Caenorhabditis elegans: one gene and its partner. The protein of the gene in region 2 purifies or fractionates together with the protein of the main gene of each other region. This does not show direct contact. Each region holds a gene or a part of one and is shown on either strand. Other genes may lie near its edges.

What was found.
Region 1: the proteins of fbxa-163 (region 2) and lpr-4 fractionate together in Caenorhabditis elegans (co-fractionation; one large-scale study listed by BioGRID). This does not show direct contact.

The regions. Positions count from the first base shown.
Region 1 is NC_003284.9:11,058,554-11,070,177, reverse strand, and holds lpr-4 (Lipocalin domain-containing protein), read right to left. Parts: upstream 5,053-11,624; 5' UTR 4,991-5,052; coding exon 4,877-4,990; intron 4,829-4,876; coding exon 4,691-4,828; intron 4,617-4,690; coding exon 4,211-4,616; intron 4,139-4,210; coding exon 3,971-4,138; intron 3,923-3,970; coding exon 3,764-3,922; intron 3,716-3,763; coding exon 3,618-3,715; 3' UTR 3,367-3,617; downstream 1-3,366. Other genes in the region: apt-9 (ADP-ribosylation factor-binding protein GGA1), read right to left, coding at 1-68, 233-360, 416-692, 789-872, 1,243-1,322, 1,373-1,412; lpr-5 (Lipocalin domain-containing protein), read right to left, coding at 5,978-6,118, 6,176-6,438, 6,488-6,878, 6,925-7,050, 7,098-7,319, 7,368-7,856; lpr-6 (LiPocalin-Related protein), read right to left, coding at 8,548-8,737, 8,787-8,920, 9,188-9,324, 9,367-9,528, 9,615-9,789, 9,975-10,184; lpr-3 (Lipocalin domain-containing protein), read right to left, coding at 10,634-10,759, 10,809-10,954, 11,007-11,177, 11,231-11,624.
Region 2 is NC_003280.10:1,604,427-1,615,754, forward strand, and holds fbxa-163 (F-box domain-containing protein), read right to left. Parts: upstream 6,305-11,328; 5' UTR 6,290-6,304; coding exon 6,093-6,289; intron 5,966-6,092; coding exon 5,882-5,965; intron 5,833-5,881; coding exon 5,169-5,832; intron 5,103-5,168; coding exon 4,890-5,102; 3' UTR 4,826-4,889; downstream 1-4,825. Other genes in the region: bath-47 (BTB and MATH domain-containing protein 47), read left to right, coding at 1-160; bath-33 (BTB domain-containing protein), read right to left, coding at 241-428, 478-628, 1,168-1,558, 1,614-1,717; fbxa-164 (F-box domain-containing protein), read right to left, coding at 8,408-8,614, 8,662-9,319, 9,360-9,437, 9,518-9,576; fbxa-165 (F-box domain-containing protein), read right to left, coding at 10,367-10,702, 10,764-11,293.

The DNA of each region.
Region 1 (11,624 bases), on a different chromosome or scaffold from region 2:
TTGCACAGGTTGATAGCATGATCTAACTTTTTCCGGCGTTCATGAATCTTGACAAGCTTGTGCTCTTCCTGCAATGTACTCGTGGGTGGATTACGTCTAATGTGAATTTACATGCACTAACGTCAGGCGTGAAAATTTGATTAGAGTTGATTTCAAAGTTGATGTTTCGACTACTTGACTATAATTCAATGTTCAATGACTGAAACATTGACTTTTTGAAAAAAAAACTTACAGTTTCTACAAGAGTTTTGATTAGATTATTGGCAGTTTCCAAGTCTTCTGGGCGATTACTTGATAATAAAGCTTTCAAAAGAACGGCTTGCTCTTCATTGTCAAACACCGATGACCTGACAGGTGGAACTGAAAATAGACGTGAATATTACTTATTATTATTATAAAGTGAAGAGAAAATCACCTGCGAAAACAGGAACTTCAGTTTCTCTAACATGCGGATCGTCAGTGATTATCTTGCTCAATTTTAATGACTCGTACACTTGCTTGTATTTTGGAATGTGCTTGATTGACAATTGCCAGATGAACAGCAGCTTTATGATTTCCGTTTTCAGTGCGTCGCTTGTCAATTTCCCATTGTATTTGGGAGCTATCAATCGGACAAGCTCATTTAGGAATTTGTAACGACCACAGCGCTCATGAACCTTTTCGCCTCCATTGCGTACTAAATAATCAAGAGCCTGAAAAACATTATTTTAAACTAAAAAATAATTGTCTAATATGGTTTTTTGAATAGAAAATCTTTGAACATGATTTTGAAGTAAACGAATCCTCACTCTGATTGTAAGCATCGCTTCTTCTTGTGAAGGACTTGAAAGCTTGTGTGAAAAAAGATCCACTGCGAGCAGTGCACTTGCAGGCTGAAAACTTGTACGTTGTAGATCTTTGTGATATTTAAACACGGGAATATTAATTTTAATAAAATTTCAATTTTTTTCAATCTTTAGGTTCAGAAATTACTTCTAATGCTAGAAATTAGAAAAGAACTTACGTTTTGATTTCAATTCATTAATTTGAATTTAATTATTTTGAGCACTACCCAAGTATCAATAAACGGAAGCAAACTGATGAAATTGAGTTATATGTTTAACTAAAAAATAAAGGCAAATTACATCTAATCAAATTGAAAATAAACGAAAACAAAGGACATGCATTTTCAAAGTATTGTTTCTCAAAATATCTTTGTCCAGTTGTATTGTTTTCCTTGATTCTCACAAATTTCAAACTTACTTGTTTATAAATGCTTTCAATTATGAAGTCCAATGCTTTAATTCTTTCCTCGTCACCGATGAATCTATCTGTTGCGCGACCTAAAATCATTGCAATTTCTCTGCACATTCCCAACTTAAGTGTCACTTACAAACCCAGTAGTCAATGGGACGCACTGGTTCTTCCTCCATTGCAGCTAGCGTTCAACTGGTGCACACCACTTGGAAGAAAACGAAAAAGGAGGAGAAATAGGAAAAACAAGCAAGCACAACAGCAAAACGGCGACTTTTCCTTCTTCTTCAACTCCTTTTTTTTCTCTAAAAGGCCCCAAGTAGCAAAAGAAGGGAAAAAAAGAAGAAGAGGTTTCAAATGAAGCCCGGGGGCGAGAGGCGTGCTCCATTGCTCTCCACTTCCATCACCGGCGCCTATCGATCTATGTGTCTTGTCGTCTGCCGCAACTCATCATCTTGCTTCTCGTCGTCTTCTTGAGCTTGTGCAATGAGTACCCCTTATTCTGACCAGTGAGATGCAACACAATGTGCACTAAACGTGACCAAGAATAGTTCTGTGATTCGGATTTGAGACATACATTCAGAGAGCTAAAACTCAATTTTGTCATTTTGATGCTTGTCCTGGAGCGTGCCCAAATGCTGATCTTTCGGAAAACATGCGCCTGAACAGAAGGACAATGAATAATGAATTGAGCAATCTAGGAATAAAATTTAAACGCGTGAATATAATTGTTGAACATGAACATAAACCTTTAAAATAGAAAATCAATGAGTATTGAGAGGAAATTTGTAGAGTTGATTTAAATTTTATAATTAAAAAGTTTAAAAAAGTTATGCAATTGTTTATATATTTTCTGTGGAAAAAATTGTCAATTTTTAAACATTCAAATTTGCAGGCAATTCTCTAGAACGTTTTTACTTGAAGATACTTATTTGATACATTTCTCCGACTACAGTCTTCTACATATTGCAAATATACGGGGAAATGTCTGAAAGTAGCTAAAGCAAAATATCTTCAGCAAAATAAAAATGAACCTTAAGCATACCTGCCTATACTTGTTACCTGATTACCTACTAATATTAAATACTACTAATATTAAATACCTGCTTAAAATTATCTTGGGCAATACTTTCATGGTTTATTCAGGCACTGTTGAACATTTTTTGTCGTTTTCAATGGCAAAATACTCGATTTTTCCTAATTTGCCCAGTTTCGTTTTTTACCATGTTTGTAAGTATCAGGTCCTGAACTAAACACGCTTATAATAAACACTTTTCTCTCAACTGACACGCAAAATAAAATTTTCCGGCTGCCTTTCTCCTCGAATTTTTCAAATTAACTTCCCTGTTTTAATTCATTCTTTTTATCCGATTTCTACAATCAGCTATCCGGGAAATTCGAGATAAAACACAACCGACCATGACCCAATTTTGTTACGAAAGCGAAATGAGAGAATTGTCCAAGAAAAACTTTTGATATCGAATCTGACATAATCCACTGAGAAGCGCAATGCGCAACACAGTCGCCTTTGGTCGACAAGATTTGGGAAAGATGACCTGGATATTTGAAAAATGTTGCTTGCACTTTTCCAAAGAGGCTTTCCTCTTTATCTCTCAAAATAACTGGCACGTAGGAAGCATCTTCTGTGAGTCGGTGATAAAGTTTAAATGGATGTTGTGAATCTTGAAAACTGTTTGTTCAAACCTCAGGTATAAAACCAAGACATTTGTAATCCAAAAGCTTAAACAGTTAATTGCGGAACACAAATTCAAATCCCTGAAGTTTTATTATTTAAGGTTCAAACTTCCAGAGTAGGGAGCAGTTTCTGTAAATAATTTTAGTTTGTAGGAATGATGAAATTAGAAAAATAATGAGCAATTGTTGACTTGTTTAAATTTTAACAGATTATGTTACTCAAAACGGTAGATCATTCTGAATAATTGTCTAGCTATTTCACATCTGAAATATTAATCGGTTTCCGATGGCCCCGCTCCACTACTATGTTGGCATTTTTGTAAACTTCATTTACCTTTTTTAAACTGCCTTCGGAGTGTTTAGTTTACAGTTTCTATGTAACTAAAAAGAAGCTGTTTATTTAATTTTAAAATATATACACTTGCTGAGGATCAACGGTTTAATATCAAATAGTTTATTATTGTCAAACTGAGGATCAGGATTTCATAGAATCCGTTATTAATGAGGCACAAGGAAAGGGAAAAATTACAAGTTATTATAACTAACTTCTTGTTGTTATTAGTTTCATTATTATAATTATTATTATTACAAAATCTGTCTACACACAGAATGGAATGTTTGGGGAGAAACAATTAATTGATGGAGGATACCCGACAGCGAGATGACAGTCGTACGGCGCTTGCAAGCAATTACTTTCCGGTTCCAGAGAAAGTTGGAGTGTACTGACAGGCTTCATAGTCAACTGGAGAGATCATGTTGAAGGCCTTGGTCATGACGTTGATGTAGTCTAAATATTAAAATTATTAAATAAAAAAGCTCTACCATGTTAACTCACTGTTCTGTTGCAAGAATTCGAGGACATTCTTCATGTGCAGCTTTCTGAAGCGTTCTGGGTCACGAGCAATGACAAAGACTGGATATCTGACCCAGGTAGAAACGATGGCGTAGTCGTATTGCTTGTACTCATTGAGTGGTCCCATCTTGATAACCCAGACTGAGCATATTTCACAACTATCAATTATGTAGTTAGTTTATAACTTACAAGGCTCGGCATCAGCAGAATTGGAGTTGTGAAGAACGAATTGTCCAGTTTCTCCAGATTTGAATCCGTATCCGAGAGCATATCTTGGGGATCCATTTGGATTTCCTTCTCTGTAGAACTTGAGGATGGTGAAGGAAGCAGAGTATGTGTTGTTCGTAAGGGCTCCGACTGAAAATTGAACATTGGCAAGATGGTTTAAAAAAAGTGTTTTAGTTAAGACATATATAATCTGCTACTTACAGTGTGACACGGTGCAGGCCTCACGGATGACATGTGGAGAGTTGATAACTTGGAACCATCTTCCCATCATTCTAGCGGTATCTACATTTTCAGCAGTTGGGTGAACAGCTCTGAACACATCCTTTGCGATATTTTTTGCAGTATCCTTTGGAAGAATTCTGCTGATTGAAGATCCTAGAAGAGTGTTTGCTGGTGGAATCATTTGTGGGAAAAGTTGTCCGACAAGGTAGTTAAAATTGCTAAGTCCTGGAATAGTGTTGACTCCTGGAATAACTGGTGCGTCCTGTGGTCCTGGGAATCCTGGTACTGGGATTGGAGCAAGTCCTGGGATTTGTCCAGAGGTGATTCCTTGAAGGTCAACACGATTAGCATTAGCCTCTTCAATAACTTGGTTGACATCGTCACTCTAAACGTCAGATTTTTTTTTAATTTCAGAAACGAGAAGAATATTTCATTCAGCAGATTTACATAGATACTCACTCCAAAGAAAGAACTTGGCACTGGGGCACGACGAATATCCTTTTCATCTCTGGTACTGAATCCAAGTTTATCCAAAATTGATTCAGCCACCTCTCCAACTTTCACAAGAGCTTTGTCGTCAGTTCCTGGTGGTCCAATCTGAAATTGAGCACTCTCAAATAACTGAAAAAAATACAAAATGTTTACCTTTGCAGTTGGGTCGATTCCAGCGGGCAGGCTATCGAATGTTGGTGCATCTGGTGCAGCGAGGAAAACTCCTCCAATTACGCAGGCGAAAACAACCGCCGTCAGCCGTTGCATCGTTAGAACTTCCAAGTGTGGGCTTTCTCAATGGGCTGTATCGTCCGGGTGAGATATATGTTGACCTCAAAATGTCCAGCGTCGATAGGCTTTCACTCTCGTTACGTGCCAATTTTCGCTTCTTCTTTTGCGTCTCTTCATGCAAGATTCACTGGACTGTATCCGCGAATCATTGCGACAGTCACCACTTTCACTTGACCGATATTCGCTTTTCCCCGTACCCCTTTCTAATCCTCTGGATTGAATTACTCTGATAGAGATAGAGAGATACTCTCAGAAATAGGAATGATGAAGATAAATGTGACAGGCAAACACTGTTCCAGAGTTTGACCTGACCTAATTGAAAAATGAGTAAATTGATACAAGAAAATAAGAAGAAACCCCTTTCTCAATAAGTCAAAATCGGCATTTTTCGTAAACCAAAGTTTTAAGTTCTAAAAAATGACTTTTCTGAATAATTTTATAACATGGTTGTAAGAATGATCTGGGCCGAGAAATTGAGAATATTCATTAATTGTATTTAATCCTTTATGATCAATTATAGAAACATCAACTCTGATTTTTCGACGATGCCATTTTTGTTAAGAATTGCGCATCCGTTTAATAATTGTACTTCTTTCTTCATTACTAAAGAAATGTTAAAAATAGATAGTTTAAAAAATTTATTAACTGCATATTATCAACATTATTAGGACAAGTGTGAAAGACGTAGAAAAAATATAACCGAAATTATAAAAAGGAATAAATTATTCGAAATTCTATATACAACAAGGAATGCACGAGCCCACGGCCTGATTTTTTGTGTAGTTTCTAAATGAAAATTAAAGAAAAATGCTTTGGATTGTAAACTAAGACTTAAAAAGATGAGGTAATCACCCGAGGGTTGAAAGAGAAGAAAGGGCAATGAGAACGGGATGATGGATGGAAAAAAACCATATTAAAAATTATTAGGAGTTATTAGAAATTATTAAGATGGTGGCGAGTAAACTATCTTCCTTGGTTGTAGAAAAGATGTGGTGGGAAGATGCACATAGTGTTGTCGACTGGAGCAACAACATTAAGCAGGCGAGAGATTCCATTCACAATTCCGCTCTTGTCCAGGAACTCATTGACAACTGGTTCGTATTTCTAAAATAATATCAGTTGAATTATCACAACATAATCACTGTTAATTAATTTTCATACCTGCTTGAAAATGCTAGTATCTCTTGCAAATACATAGACTGGATAGTTGCAGTTGGTGGACATGACAACATATTCATATTCTCCCTGATGATTCAATGGTCCAACGCTAAGAATGTGCACAGTCACATCTTCTTTGTTGGAATTTGTTCTGAAGATGAGTTCTCCCTTTCCTTTCACCAAGGCATATCCAGAAGAGATTATTGGCTTTCCATATGGAGTTCCATCAGTTGTGTACTCATAGACATCTACGATTGATCCGGTGGCTGAAAAACAACTAGTTAAAACTGATTAAAATCTATTAATGCACGTTACCTTCTCCATTATCACTAAGTTTTTTGTAAGAAACCATGCTGCAAGGGCCAGTAGATACTGGTGGAGAGTAGATAACTTGGTACCATTGTCCCATAAGAGGATCGAGTTCAAATTCAACCGGGATTGGTTTTTGTGTGCATAGTGGAGAGTTTGGCTTGATGATAAGATCTTGAATCATTTCAAGATTGCTGCTGATGGCGGCAGATTGAGCTGGGGTAAGGACAATTGAGCCATTTTCACTCTTCTCAATTTCAGTTCCATTGGACTCGAGTGAACCACTGGAAAGAGTCTTGAAAAGCATATCAGTCAGAATGTTGCTACCAGGTTTTGGGAATGGACTGTTTTCTCCCGAAAGGAGGTTGGATACAGCCTTTCCGATAGTGTTCTTTTCCTAAATTAACTCGATTAAGATGGTTAAAAAGAATATGAAATCTTACTGGAGCGGTTCCGTTCCCATTTTTGGCGTTCTCCTTAGCTTTCTTTCCTCCGAGCTTGATAAGATTGAAAATAGTTCCAATCAATCCACCTCCAGACGAGTTTGAGTCTTCGGAAAGACCTCCATACTAAAAGATAAAAATAAATGTTCGAGAACGCTGCGAAAAAAATTTACCTCTTCTGTATTAAGTTCATCTGATTTAGAATCAATTGAGTGCGAGACTTCAGATACTGAAGATGGAGAGCGACGAACTTCTGAAGTTGGAAGGAATCCACCTTCTGGGACAACTGGTGCTGTCTCAAACACTGGGTTTCCGCTGGAGTCTCTTGGAACCGAAACTGCCTTGTTGAATGCGTCAACTAGAGCAGTTGGTTGTTTTGCCAACTTCAAGAATACCTAAAATACAAATTTTAAAACGGACTGACAGAAAGATGATTTACGTACATTTGGAATTCCTGCAATTGAGTTTTCGACAGCACCGGATCCTTCTACCTCCTGGTTTTCCTTTTTGCCTGATGGCGAACGACGAATGTCTCCGAAAGAAGTCAATGCCTTATTGTTGTTTGCAACGGAAAACCCAGACCCAAATCCTGGTGGAAGTGCTTGGCCAGCGGGAAGCTCTGGAGCAGTGAAGAATGACTCAAGTGTCTTCTCTAGGCTTGAAACAACGTGTGTTGGCTGATTTCCATTTTGAACTGGACCTTGTGGGGCTCCAATCTCGAACGTCTTTTCCGGGAAAAGGCCTCCTGGGCGGGGTCCTAGCAGAGAGTCCACCAATTCGCGAGCATGCCCATCAAGTTCAAAGTAATTGGAAAACTCTGGTGGCACTGTTGGTTTAGGAGCATAACGTTGTGCTGATGGAAGAGCAAAAGCGTCAAGTTGGGCGCCGGCAAGGCCAACAAGACAAATAGAGAGGATGCCTATCGAGAGCATTCTCGATGGATGAAATGAATAAAAGTGTGGATGTTGTAGAAGGTGTGTCGAATGAACCGGGGTCATCCGTCCAGTGTTTTCGCTTCTCTTTTGTCCAACCTCCTTCGCCGATTTCTTTCCTCTCTGTGTTCTCTTTCTTCTCTCGCCTCTTCGAGTTTATCTTCTCAAATCTCAAATCGTGTCCTCGTTTCGCTTGCTAGTTGCAGCAAGTGTATGTTTCTCTAAAGACAGTCATACATTTTCGAATTGCTTTTGATACGGTACACAGGCCCGAAAATCTTATTATCGGAAGTTTGAAGTTCGGGAGTGAAACTGTCAAATGGATGACGCCGAAAATCGGTAAAACGGAAAGGAGGATAAACTGAAAGTAAACGTTGTACAACCTTCAATATCAATACTATTGTACTGTAAGCGACTGCAAAACTACTGTAAGTCTACTGTAAAACACTGATTCAAAATGAACTTACAAATTTATTGAATTAACTTTTCTTTTTTCAAAAGACAATGAGATACAACGGAAGGAACACGGAACCGTGTCTTATTAATTGCATTATTAATATTATTATTAATACATGTAGACAATAATTAAAGGATCACAGATTGATAATTAGTGCGTGAAGAAATTGGAAAGAGATTATTAAGAGAAAATGGTAGAAGTACTGGAAAAATGGCGAAAAATGGTAGAATGAGGTCACTCGCTACGGCTGGCTGGTGGACCGGCTGTGATTCCGGCGGTGGCTTGTTGCAAAGCTTTTGTTCCAACTAGTCTTTCCAAAGTACGCTTTGGGTCGCGGATCATGTCGGCAAGTGGCATTCCGGAAAGAATTGGGTCTGAAGTTCCATTCTTGTTGCGCTCGTTCATTTCTTGGTTTTTCAAAACTCTGAAAATAAACTATATTTTCTGTCTGTTACATGAGTAAATTACATTACCTTCTGGCAAAGACCTCCTTTTCAGAAGGCCATTCGCAGTCTGGTCCTTGGTAAATTGGCTTTGGGCTGTTCCAGAAGACATTTCCTCCAAATCCGTGTCCATTCATGAACTCAACAACCTCCTTGTTGTACTTCTGTAAATGATGTTATGTTTGCAAATATGTCAGACAATTGTCACTTTCGCTTTTTTTCTTTCCCGATTTCTGAATCCCAAATTCCATAATCCAATAGACACGGATTGTAATCGGAGAAATAATTCAAAATAAGGTCAACCGATGTTGATAAGCTAACCCAATTCTCGCCTCCTGTCAATCACTGTGTTCATCAATCTCACTAGTGCGCCCTACAGGAGAGTAAAAACAAAAAACACGCGCCGCAACGCTTGATGTTTCGCAACTGACCTGGAAAAATACAAGAGGATCTCTAGCATAAACCATGAGGGAAAGTCGGTTAGCATCAGAAGCAATCAAGTATTGGAGTGGCTCGGTAGAATTTCTGGTGCCATTATTGAAAGATGGTCCAGCTCCGATAATGTAAACTGAAAAGCAAGTTTAGTCAAAATTAAATGTTTTTCGCTCACATTGTCTTGGGTAGAAGTACTCTTCAGTGTACATCCAGTATTGTCCTGGTCCAACTTTGTTCATGTCTCTTTTGTAAGTCTCAATTGGTCCAGTTTTTGAAACCACTCTGTAAGCTTCTTGCATCGAGAATCCTTCTTCACCCATTATCGGATTAGGAGAGACTGCAAGTTACTTGTTATTTGAGCTTAGTTTATGATTCGAACAGGTTCAAAAACATGTTTTTGAGACTTTAGAAAGATAAACTTACAATAAGCAACTGGGCAGAACATTGTGGTGCGGACAACATCAAAGTTCATAGCAGCCTTGTACATCTGGAACCATTTTCCCATAACCATCTCCGCAGGGACATTGATGGTGTCAATTTTGCTTTCGAGCATTTTTCCAATTCCTCCAAGAATACCAGTAATGGCTTGGAAATCCATCTGAATTACAATTTTTAATATTATGCTGACACATATTCAAAACTTGACGTAAGTTACTAAATATCATAAATTACAAATGTCATTTAACAAAAGAAAGATAATTTCCAATGTTCTGTATCTTATTTAATTAAATTGAATTTGAATCCGAAAAATTCGACTAGTTTGTTGTTTTAAGGGATACTTACCGCATTTTCTCCAATAGCGGTAACTCCACCAAGGAGACAGAAGACCAGTGCAACATTTCGAGACCACATTATTTTTAGAAAGACACCGGTCACTACTAGAATATTGACCGTATATGTAGTGAACAGAAGTGACTGCTGCAGTTGCTGGCTGTTGCGATGGACGCCTTCTCCTTTCTCTTCCTCGACCTTCATAACCTGAACCCCGCCCATTAATCTTCAAGCTCCCCCTCTTCTCTTCATTTTCGGTGCCTGTGTGTTCCATGTTTCATGTGAAACTGTCTCATCAAGCAGTAAACCACAATTTACCTACATTACGTGAGTAATTAGGGCACGGTGTACTTGTAACCTTCACCCTTTTTAAGTGGGGTTCAATGCGTTGTAAATGGATTTGTGAATTGCAGTATAATATATGGAAAGAAATGTTTATTACGAATTTTTATTATGCGGGTTCTTATATTATTAAAGAGTTATTAAATTTATAATGCAATTATTAAGAACTGTACAACAACAAGTAATTGCAAACTGATGCGGGAATGTTTGGCGAAAAAATAGGCAATAAAAGTGAGAAGGAGAAAGAGGTCATTTAAGAGATTTTTCAGTAAAAATTAATTTGGTGGGTGCGACTGAGGGCCCAATGTACTCGTTGACTGTGGTTGGATTTACTTTCCGAAAACTTCAAAAGTCGAGTCTGCGTATTGACAGGTTGAGTATCCAGCTGGTTGGAGAAGGTTGAATGCTCTGATAAATCCGTTGATGAATCCTTGGTCTTCAAGCCAACGGAGAACCTGAAAGTTATATTTATCATTTATAAGTGTCATGTATTTTCTGACTTGCCTCTTTCTGGTATTTGGTCTTGAAAGTATCAGGGTCGCGAACCAAAACAGTAACTGGATATTTGACCCAATTGGAGATGATAGCGTACTCGTATTGGGAGTCTCCGAATGAGTTCTTTCCCTCTGGTCCAAGTTTGTAAATCCAGACTAAAAATGATGGATTAGGTGCCTATTGAAAATGAGGAAGAAATAAACATACATGGTTGAGCGTCACTTGTTTCAGAAGAGTGAAGTTGGAGCATGGCATCTTTGTTTCCTCCACGGAAAGCATACCCAAGAGAATACTTGACTGGTCCAAACTCAGATCCTTCTCTGTAAACCTTGAGAGCGGTGAAAGTGGCGGTTTTGTCATTGCGGGTAAGTCCTCCGTCTGAAATTTTTGATTTAAACAAATATTCCTTTTTTACAAACAACTGTACTCACAATGATGAACAACGCATCTTTGTTCGGTGGCTCTTGGAGAGTTAATTCCCTCAAACCATCTTCCCATGAATTTGGAAAGATCGACAGTTGGTGTTTCTGGGAGAAGAGCATCAGTGACATTGTCAGCGAGAGTTTGGAGTCTCTCTGGTGGGAGAAGCTCAGAAAGGGTGGTTCCGTTAGATACACGCTTGGTAACTGATCCGATCAGACTAACGATGTCAATTTGTCCTTGAGAGTTTCTTGGGATACCTCCTGGAAGAAGTGGGATTCCTGGAATTCTTGGGAGTCCTGCATGAGTTGGAGAGTTGTTGCCTCCTCCTCCGAGAGCGGCCGCAAAACCAGAAAGGGCTCTTTGAGCAGCAGATGGTTGTCTGCGAATGTTAGAAGATGATGC
Region 2 (11,328 bases):
AAGCTATGAAGCCGCGGGAATTGTGAAGCGGTGTGAAGAGTATGTAATAAAGTACTCCAAGAAAACGCTGGAGCAGAAGGAGAAGCTGGCGAAGCATCATAATTTGAAGACTCTAAAGGCACATTGTGATTATTGGAAAAGTCGCCGGAAATGCTGCTAGATTTGTACGGAAATTAATAAAAATGTTTTATTAGAGGTTGTACTGCACAGAATTTTACAGGTACATATGTAGATCATAGATCAAATTTCCAGATTGGAATAGCAAGATCTCTTCAAGTTCTCCAAGTTATAGCGATAGGCCAGCTGCAGCTGTTTCTTCAACATCATCTTAGATCCCGCTCCTCTGAAAAGAAAGTTCTCGCAGTTTTGGGTGACCAACTTGGCATTGTACATGTCTGCAATGAGAAGCACACCCTCCACCGACTCGTCTGAAAATTTTAAAATTTTATTTTTTCCTATAAGTGTCCTATGTCAAACCTGTGATAGCTTCCTGGTGGCCGTAGAGAACTTCCAGAAAGTTCTGGAAGTCGTTGGGGTCGATTGAGCTGAGAGTGACTTCGGAGCTGTTTCCTTCTTTGAAGTTGCCAATTGGCAGAGCCTTGAAGTATCCGGACTGGGCAGCAAGGAACTGAAATAGTTATGATTAGGAAATTAGCCTAGACAATAGATCCTGGAGCCTAGAGACTAGAGCCTTGAGTATAGATCCTAGATCCTGGATCCTAGATCCTAGATCCGAGATCCTAGAGCCTAGATCCTAGATCCTAGATCCTAGATCCCAGATCCTAGATCCCAGATCCTAGATCCCAGATCCTAGATCCTAGATCCTAGATAATCGATCCTAGATAATAGATCCTGAAGCCTAGAGCGTAGATCCAAGACACTTGATCCTAGATTTTAGATCCTAGATCCTAGGTCTTAGATCCTAGATACTTGATCCTAGATAATAGATCCTGAAGCCTAGAGCCTAGACCCTAGCTCCTAGATAGTAGAGCCTAGAGCCTAGATCCTAGAGCCTAGAGCTTAGAACCTAGATCCCAGAGCCCGGAACCTAGATCTTCGAGCCCAGAGCCTAGAGGCCAGAGCCCAGAGCCCAGAGCCTACAGCCTTGGCCTATGTAAACATAAGCTCAAGCTCAGGTCGTGACGCTAATCTTAAAGGCTAACTGACCAGTTTTGCCACATGAAACCTGGTCTCCTTCACCACCAACACAACATCCGAAAACTCCTTCATAGCCTCGTCGAAGTTGCGGACTTTCACCTTCTTCTCAAATCCCCAAGTGTCTATGATCTTCAGACAAACTTCAACCGTCACCGTGTCCTCTACCACAAACTCCTTCATCATTTTCTCCCATAACATAAACTTTGGAAATCCAATTCCGATGTACTGCGTCTCACCTCCATACTTTCGAACTCCTGTCTTTTCGACAAATATCTTGCCAGTAGGGGTAATCATTTTGAAATCACATTCAACTTCGATACTTTGCTCCTCGGCTATAAGCTGGGCTCCATAATACACGCATAACTGCAAATGTTTGTCTTTGCAGAAGACCTTGAAATACCTGAAAATGATTTTGATCATTAAAAATTGAAATTATTGTTAGAATAATAACTTACCAAGGTAGTCCAAAATGTTGTTCACTTGTTGTAGATTGCGAATCTCCTTCCTTCATAGCGGCAATATTCTTCACTTTTCGAGTCATCACAAATTCCTTCGTCATTTTTCAAAGTAGGTGAAATAAAGACAGAAAAACTAAGAAGTAATAATGATATTGGCTTGCTGGACTTATTGCAAGAAATTTACAAGAGCCCAGAACGCTGTGCAACCGCAAATTTTCCGATCGATAAGCTGCGAAACTGGATCAATATATTCCAGTGTCCCCTTCTTTTTTAATGCTCGGACTATTGATGATCCACTTGATCAACTTGAGACATGGTGCGTCAATAACTTAAAGTTGTCTTAGACTAGATATGAGCTGCCAAGACCACATTGAGACATGGTGCATCGACCACTCAAAGTTGTCGTAGACTAGATATGATCTGCCAAGACCAGTTTGATACATGGTGCATCGAACAGAATCAGCTAATTATAACGCAGCATATGTATACTTCATATGTTCATTTATTAGTTTGCATAACACATAATATTCAAAAAAAAATCTTGATGTTTCTTTATTCGACAGTGTAGCCAAATTTTGTGATGGAGATCTCACCAGGACGACATTGCACATCGAAACTTCTTTCGTCTGGAGTTTGATAAAAGTTTTCGTGCTCAACATTGAAAATTCTTTTCAGTGCACTGTTGTTCATATAATTACAGCAAATTCCAGCAAAACCAAAGTGAGCAGATCTATCGATCATCTGGAAGCAACTAAAGAGTTTTGAGAAATATTAATGTAAAGAACCCACCGCACGAAGCCTCAGTGCATCTGCTTCTGTGAATCTTGCGAGATGAACATCAAACCTCTCAAAGTGAAAGAATTTTTCAATTGGAATAATTAAATTCTCAGCATATCCATGAAATATTCTAGCTTGTTTCCATTGGTCCAAATCAATTAGCTGTTTGTATTCTTGACCGTCCAATCCATTCAGTATAAGTTTTTTCAGTCTTTCCGCAGGGAAAATGGGCAACAGTTGGGCAAGTTCTGGATATGCAACGAATTGGGTTTGCACAGTTTTTGATGTCAAGTTCTTCGCCGATCTAAGAGATTTCCCAACACCGGCAATGAACTTTGTGCGGGATTTTTTCTGAATTCCATTATTGTCAATCCGGAATGATTCCATCTGAGCCTTTCCACTTTCCACCATCAACTTAAGATCCTTGTTGCATAGCTTTACGTAGTTCCCGCCAGGCACAAATGTTTGTTTTTCGAAGTCCTCGCCGTTTTTGGCAAAGTAGGTAACCTCACATCCTATATCATTTTGCCGATATTCGAATTTGGTACTTGTGTATTATTTCCCCTCAAAAATATTCAAAAAATCACATTCTATTGTAGTTCAAGTCATGATTTCCGTTCTTAAATCGATAGAACCAGAATTCAAAATCAGCAAATCCCATGACGTCATTTCCAACTTTCCTACAAAAATTGTCGAAAGACTCTTTAATTGATTTTTTGTCGAGAACTTCGTAGAGAATACATGTACGGTTAGTGAGCTCACTTTGGCAAAGAGCAACAGACATTTGGAATTATTACCTGAAAATTTGAATTTTTAGAAGCAAAAAAATGTGTTAATTAAAACTGGAATAACTATTTTGAACAGAAAAAGAACGGTTAACGGTTCTGAAGAGTTTACCACATTAAAATTGAATTCTCTGTTGATAAGAAGAATTCTCTTTTTCGAAACTGATAACAATGCACAAACATTTGATTTCACAAGAGACAGGGAAGTTTGTTGAATGAAATTGATTATTGACAAATAGTGACCAAAAACCACTATTTAAACTATTTAATTTTAATATTTTATTGTGGAAAATGGACGTAGATGTACAAAATAACGAAGTATTAGGCATGAAGTCTCAATTAAAGTGCACTCGAATATTTATCCCGTTCTATTGATAATAAGCCCATCGCGACAAATTTCCACATTGAAAGATCTTTTGTCAGGAGTTTGGTGAACGAAATTTCGCTCCTCAGCAAATTCTCTTTTCAGCTTTCTGATGTTCATATCTCTGAAGTGAATCCCAGCATGAACAAAGTGAGAAGATCTATCAATCAGCTGAAAGTTAGTCGATAATATTTTCACGGATTTTTCAATGTTTTAGCACACTCACATTACGAATTTTCATTGCATCACCTTCTGTGAAAGTTTCGAGACGAACATCAAACCTCTCGAAATGAAAAAGTGTTCAATTGGAATAATCAAATTCTTAGAAAATCCATGAAATTTTCTAGCTTGTTTCCATTGATCCAGGTTAATCAGCTGCTCATATCCTGGGCCATCCATCCTCCCGTATAAATAAAGATATTCCAATTTTTTCGCAGGGAAAATGGGCAACAGTTGGGCAAGTTCTTGGAATGAAACGTGGTGTGATTGGATAGTTTTTAATGACAAGCTTTCCGCTGATTTGAGAGTTTTCTCAATGCCGTCAATGAAATTTTTACGGGCTTCGTTTTCAATTCCGTCAAAAACAGGTAGGAATGTTTCCAATTGAACCTTTCGATTTTCAATCATCAACTTGAGATCCTTGTTGCATAGCTCTACATAGTCCTCACCAGCCACAAATTTCTGTATTTCCTTGCGTTTGGGACTACCAAAATAGTAAACAACAACACAACCTCCATCCTTTTGCTCATACCTAATATGATAGCGCATGTTATAGACAATCGATACACAGTGTAACTTTTCAGAATAATTCAAAGTAAGCCAATTGATCAAAACTTTCATATTTCGAACAACACTTCGAAAGTTTCGAGACACTTTCATAAGAACCATTCTGAAATTGTTTCAATAAATTGTTTGAAGCGTCATTGCGAAATTCTCACAAATCGATAATTTCCATGTGGTCTAAAATTTCGTTGATCACGTGCAGAGGCATGACTGACAAAGAACATGGGACGGGATCGAGAGCAGCCGACATTTTTAGCTCTTACCTGAAAGTTGGAATTTCTAGAAGCGGAAACAAAAAAAACAATTCAGAACAAAAATGTGTTGATTGAAACTGAAAAAAAACGTGTTTGCCTCATTGAAATAAAATTCGAAGCTGATAAGAACTCAGTATTTCGAAACTGATAACAAAATAGGTGTCAGCTGTTACGCTCAACACGGTTGAAACCTCTACTTGGGAGTTTTGGCAGTACAATATTGTTTTGAATTCTAATAGGAAAGAGTTACAAATTGGCAAAACTTTATTTTGTTAAAAATCAAATTGAACATTTGACAAAAAGTCTCAATTTAGAGCTTGTAGTTGTAGTCGAATTGATATCCGGGTTTTGTAATTTGGATCATAAATTGACCAAATGCAACATAGAAAGATCTTTTGTCCGGAGTTTCGTAAATGTGATTGTGCTCCACACTGTGCACATCGAAGACTCTCTTTAGTCTATCGATGTTCATACGTGTGTATTGAATTTCAGCATAAACGAAGTGAGCTGATCTGTCGATCATCTGAAAATTACTTGGCATTTTTGATATTGAACTGTATTTTTGAATTTTTTTTTTTTGAAAACTCACATCACGAAGCTTCATTGCATCTTCATCTGTGAATGTTGCGAGATGAACATCGAGCCACTCGAAATGCAAGAAGTGCTCAATCGGAACATTTAACTCCCCCTCAAATCCTTGAAATATTCTCGCCTTTTTCCATTGATCCAGATCAATCAGCTGTTCATATTCTCGACCGTCCAATCCATTCAGTATAAGTTTTTTCAGTTTTTCCGCAGGGAAAATGGGCAACAGTTGGGCAAGTTCTGGATATGAAACGAATTGGGTTTGCACAGTTTTTGACGACAAGTTTTTCGCCGAATTGAGAGCTTTTTCGATACCGGCTATGAACTTTTTGCGGGATTTTTTCTGAATTCCTTTATTGTCAAGCCTAAATAATTCCATTTGAGCCTTTCCACTTTCCACCATCAACTTGAGATCCTTGTTGCATAGCTCTATGTAGTTCCCGCCAGCCACAACTTTTTGTTTTTCGAAGATGTCACCGTTTCTGGCAAAGAAGGTAACCTCACAGCCTGCATCATTTTGGCGATATTCGAATTTATAGCGCAAGTTGTAAATGATTTTTGTGCAATCTGTTTCTTCGAACAACTGTACGACAAGACTTTCGATCACACAAACTTTCATGTTTTGAACAGCGCGCCGAAAATTCCGAGACACTTTCATCAGAGCTATTCTGAAATTTTAACAATTAACAATTTAATGCTTTTTGATAAAATTCTCACAAATCGATAAGGTCCAGGTGATTTAAAACTTCGTTGATCACGTTAAGAGGCATGCCTGACAGCAAACGTGGAACTGGATTGACGCTGAAAAAGTACTATTATTGATCTAAAAAAATTTTTGGACAAAATAAACCTGCAATTTCAGTAAGTTTTACTTTTTTTTAGAAAGATTTTATCAATTTTCTTACAAAAAATATTTTAAAAAAATTACCTTCGATCATAGTGCAAGTCATGATTTCCGTTGTTAAATCGATAGAACCAAAATTCAAACTCATAATATGAGATGACGTCATTTCCAACTTTTCTACGAAAATTGTCAAAGGACTGTTTAATTGGTTTTTTGTCGAGTACTTCGTAGAGAATACATGTTCGGATGGTGAGCTCACTTTGGCGGAGAGCAGCAGACATTTGGAATTATTACCTGGAAATTTGAATTTTTCAGAAAGGAATTGATTTCGAACAGAAACAAAAAAGTTAAGAGTGGAGTTACCAAGAACGTTCACCGGTTCAGGAGCAATTGCTTAAATGAAATGGAGTTCGACGCTGATAAAACGTTTTTCGAAGTTTCGATATAATTCGAAACTGATAACAATGAATGATTTCAAAATGTAATTGAGACTAGAGACAGAGAAAATTAAAGAGAGTGAAAAATCAAAAGACATGTAAAAAACAAAGTCATATTTACACATAACACTAAAAAAATGTCCTTTTTTCAGTTATTAGTGGTTTTGTACAATTTCAAAAAATTGTTATTTTGCAAAAAAAGGACAGTATTGTTGAAAACGGTTAATTCGTATATGCATAATTGAGAAAATCTAGGTTTAACCCATCAAAACGATTTGAAAGTGGCAAAAAATGGGCAATTTACAGTAAAAAGTCAATGTTTTGAAACTCGTCTCCTTTATTTCAGTAAAGTTATGCGCAAATAGGCGTGCTTGCTCGTGGTAACAACAATAAAAGCATTCCGATTAGATAAGAAACAATGGCAGCCACGGTTTTTCATTTCTTCCATTTCATATAGATATGGCTGAAATTGTTTATCAACACAAAAGTAAATCTATGGCTGAAATTGTTTATCAACACAAAAGTAAATCATACAACGGTAATGTACAAGAAGTAGATACGAGCAATGTTGCCGGGATACGATGGTGAGTGTTTTGGCAGTGCCTGCTCTCTGTCCAACTTCTGATTGCTATAGTGCTAACCTTGCAAAAAATGGTCAAACCAAGACCTACCTAAGTTCTAACCAAAATTTGAAAAAGATATAGCAAATTTAAAAATGTATCTACTTTTGCAATTCTTAACGCGATTATTTCAGCGCCTTCTATTACTCTCCAAGCGACAAAAATCAGAGACGATGGGTTTTCAATTGGGAAGAACTTGGAAAAGAAGGAATCATCAACCTAGTTGGCAAAATTCTTCTAAAAGACGAACGCGGCAACCGACAGATGGAATACAGTGTATTGTTAACTTCATAAGGGTATCGTGTCGATTGGGGAGACACCAGTACGCCGAATTATTTTTATTTTGAATATTCCTTTACGCCAACTTACGTCAAAATTGAGCCCGATCCGTTCGAGCAATCATTGCTTGAAAAAATGTTTCAGCCCTCGGATAAAAATGATGCAATTTTGCTGGTTGAAGAGCAGCAGTTGCATGTCAATAAAGCTGTAAGTTTTTTTTTCAAATTATTTCAATTAATCAGGCAATTTTTCAGTTTCTCTCCTTCCACTCCGACTACTTTTCTGCACTTTTCTCATCAAATTTCAAAGATGGCGAATTGGATGAGATTCCACTCAAAGACGTCACTATTGAGGAGTTTGGTCTTGTTCTGAGCACAATTCATCCGGAAACTGTTCTTCCGGTGAATGGTGAGCATTGGAATTCCAAATCCGTAACAAATTAAATAGATACTTGTGTTACAGATAAAACAGTGGAGAAGCTTCTGGAGCTCGCCGATCGCTTTATAATTCCGGCTGTGTTGAGATTGGCCGAAACCCACCTGCTGACCCATTCTAAAATTGGAAACGACGCGATGCTATGGATGGCAGACAAGTATCGACTTCTGAAGCTTCTCGATGTATGCATTCTCCGTATTGATACAGTGGAGAAGGCTAAGAAGCTTCAACTCTCACCACATTTCCATGAGATTTCCGATGGAACGAATGCTAAACTTTTTAAGCGACTTCCCAAAATTGCATAAAGATTTTGATAATAATTAATAAAAGGTGATACCAAGTGACTCAGTTGAAACTGTATTTGAATGCAGAATTTATTGATACCATTAACAACTAGCAAGTACTCGGACGCAACGTAGTGTACAGACTGCTATCAGTGGGTCAGTTATAATGACGCATGGTTTGGTTGCTAAAAGTTCCTCAAAATGCTCGTGTGAATAGGGTCGTAACTATTATTAATTCTTCTGTTAGAAAAACGACAATCAAAAGACAATCCTCGATATATTTTGTTCTGCTTGCCAAAAAACTAAATAATGTTTATTGAATATTTGAATTATATAAAATTGTACTAGTTGTCAATTTCAATTCTATAGCCATACTTTGTAACTCGGAGCAAATCAGGCAAAAATTCTACATAGAAAGGTATGTTGTTCAGGTTTTGGTAGACGATGTTGTCCTCCTCATCATGGGCTCCGAAGATTCTCTTCATCCCGCTGATGTTTATAGAGTTACAGCGGATCTGAGCGCGACCAAAGTGAGTGGATGTGTCGATCATCTGATAAATGTAATTGATATTTAAAACATCTTCATAAGATAACCCACATCGCAAATTTTTACAGCATCATCTTCTGTGAATATCGCTAGATCTACTTTGAAAAACTCGAAATGCAAGAAGTGCTCAATTGGAATACTCAAACTCCAAAGTCCATCAAACTTTTTAGCCTTTTTCCATTGATCCGAATTGATCAGCTGTTCAAATCCGACACTCCCCTCTCCTTTGAAATCTATCACTTCCAACTTTTCAGCAGGGAAGATGCCCACCAGTTGTGCGAGTCCTGACAACGAAGTGTTATATGTTGCAACGGTTCTAGACGTCAAACTCTTTGCAGATTTCATAGTCTCCTCAATGCCGTCGATGAACTTTTTGCTGAGTTCTGTTTCAATTCCAGAAATTGAAACTCCGAAACTGTAAAATTCAACCTTTCGATTTTCCATCATCAACTTGAGATCCTTGTTGCAAAGCTCTAGATAGTTTTCTTCAGGCACAAAAACTTCTTTTTTGTTGCCCCCAACGACTTTATTATCAACATAAGAAACTGTACAACCGCCATTATTCTGCTTGTAAGTGATGACGTAGCGGCCATAAACAATGCTTGAAGATTGTCCTCCTGTACAAAGCTGTACAGTAAGTCTATTAATCTCAACTTTTGAATTTTGAACAGCGCGCCGAAAATTTCGAGACACTTTCATCAGAACCAATCTGAAAATGGTTCATTTTAAGATTTTCGGAAAATTCTTACGATTCGATGTTGTTCAGATGGGCCAAGATCTCGCTGACCACGTTGAGCGGCATGGCCGACAAGGACTTTGGATGGGCGCTGAAAATGTAATTTTAAATTTAATCTTGTCTCTAGCTGATTCTAAACTTTTTTAAAACAAAAATATATTATAACTTTACCTTTTATTGTAGTGCATGGCATCATTTTCGATGTGATTTTCGCGTAGAGCAGCAGACATTGGAAACTATTGTGTTGATTGAGAATTAAGAAAGAAAATATTCTGTAAGTGAAAAAAAACTGATTTTCAACGGTTTGATGTATTTACTTCAAAAAAGTGAATTTAGCGCTGATAGGAACTGACTATTTCAAAACTGATAACAATATACATACAACTGAAACTGATTGATTGAACTAGAGACAGAGAGTATGACATAAGTTTGTTGACTAATAAAAAAAACGTTCAACACAGCCGGAATTATGAGCTAGTTTTTTCTCGGAGCTCTCGCTGTCTGGGCCCAAGCAGAAGAATCAACGTGGTGTCAGGTTGTTCCATAACGGTTTGATCTACAGAAAATGCGGGAATTGTTTCCCCAAAAAAATGTGACGTCAGCACGTTTTTAATCATGCGAAATCAGCTGATAAGTTTGCGTCTGAATTCCCGCATATTTTGTAGATCACAACGAAATGGGACAATGTGACACCACATGAGAATCCTTGATGCAAGAACGTTCACGCGATAATTTCGCGGGCCTGTTCCGGTGTGGTTAGCACATAGATCCACAAAGATACAGCTGAGCAACAAACGCAACCAAATCTCCAATTGATTAATTTTTCATAACAAAAAAAAAATCAATTTTCATCTTCTCTATTACCAACTACTTCTGGTCCAAAGTCTGGCTCCCAAAGTTTGCTCTTAAGATCAAAAAAATTATAAAAAATTTTATAAAGTAAAAATTGTATAAAAATAAATGGAAAGTGTTCAAAAAAGAGCTTTGAAAACACATAAAAATAGACAAGTGCTTCCATCGTTAAAAAGGTCTGTAGCGGGATCTATCGGTTGGCATTCGTGGACGGGGATCGAAGAATTGATAATCCCTCAAAAAAAGCGCCGGAGGGGCTGGGATCGGGGGTGGCTTATAGAAGGTGCTGGCACTCTTGTTGTTGTATTTAAATTTGTAGCCAGACTTAGTGATATATAGCACTCGAAGAGCACAATGAACTTCGAAAGACCCGTTGTCCGGAGATTGGTAGACGAATTCGAACTTATTGTCGTTGTTCACATCAAAGGCCCTTTTCAATAGACTGACGTTCATTGGATCGATGGTGATTTCAGCATAGCCAAAGTTAGTGGATCTATCAAGCATCTGAAAGTTGTCTGATTTTTGAGAAATGTCAAAATTTTTGTGAAATGTAAGAAAAGCTCACATAACGAAGCTTCATTGCATCTTCTTCTTTGAATCTTACGAAATGATCTTTGAAGCACTCGAAATGCAAACAGTGCTCAATTGGAACGTTCAAGCTCCAAAATCCATCAAATTTTCTAGCGTTCTTCCATTGTTCCAGGCCAACCAGCTGCTCATATCCATCAGTCCTGGCCCCTTGTTTGAAATTAATTTCTTCCAGTTTTCCAGCATGGAAAATGGGCAAGAGTTGGGCAATTTCTGCTAATGAATTGTAGTGTGCTTCCACGGTTCTTGTGGAGCTTTTTGCAGACTTGAAAGCTATCTCGGCTCTGTCAATGAATTTCTTTTGAGTGTCTTGATTAGATCCATTCGAAAACTGGAATTTCTTCAATTGAACATTTTGATTCTCCATAATCAATTTGAGATCCTTGACGCCTAGCTCTATATAGTCCTCGTCAGTCACAAAAAATTCTTTTCTGTTGTCTTCATCGCTCGTGCGAATTCTGCGACCACACGTGCAAGTTGGTTCTTGACGAAACGGCGAGTACTGAGCTACAAAAAATTAAAATAAATTTTATTTTGGCATT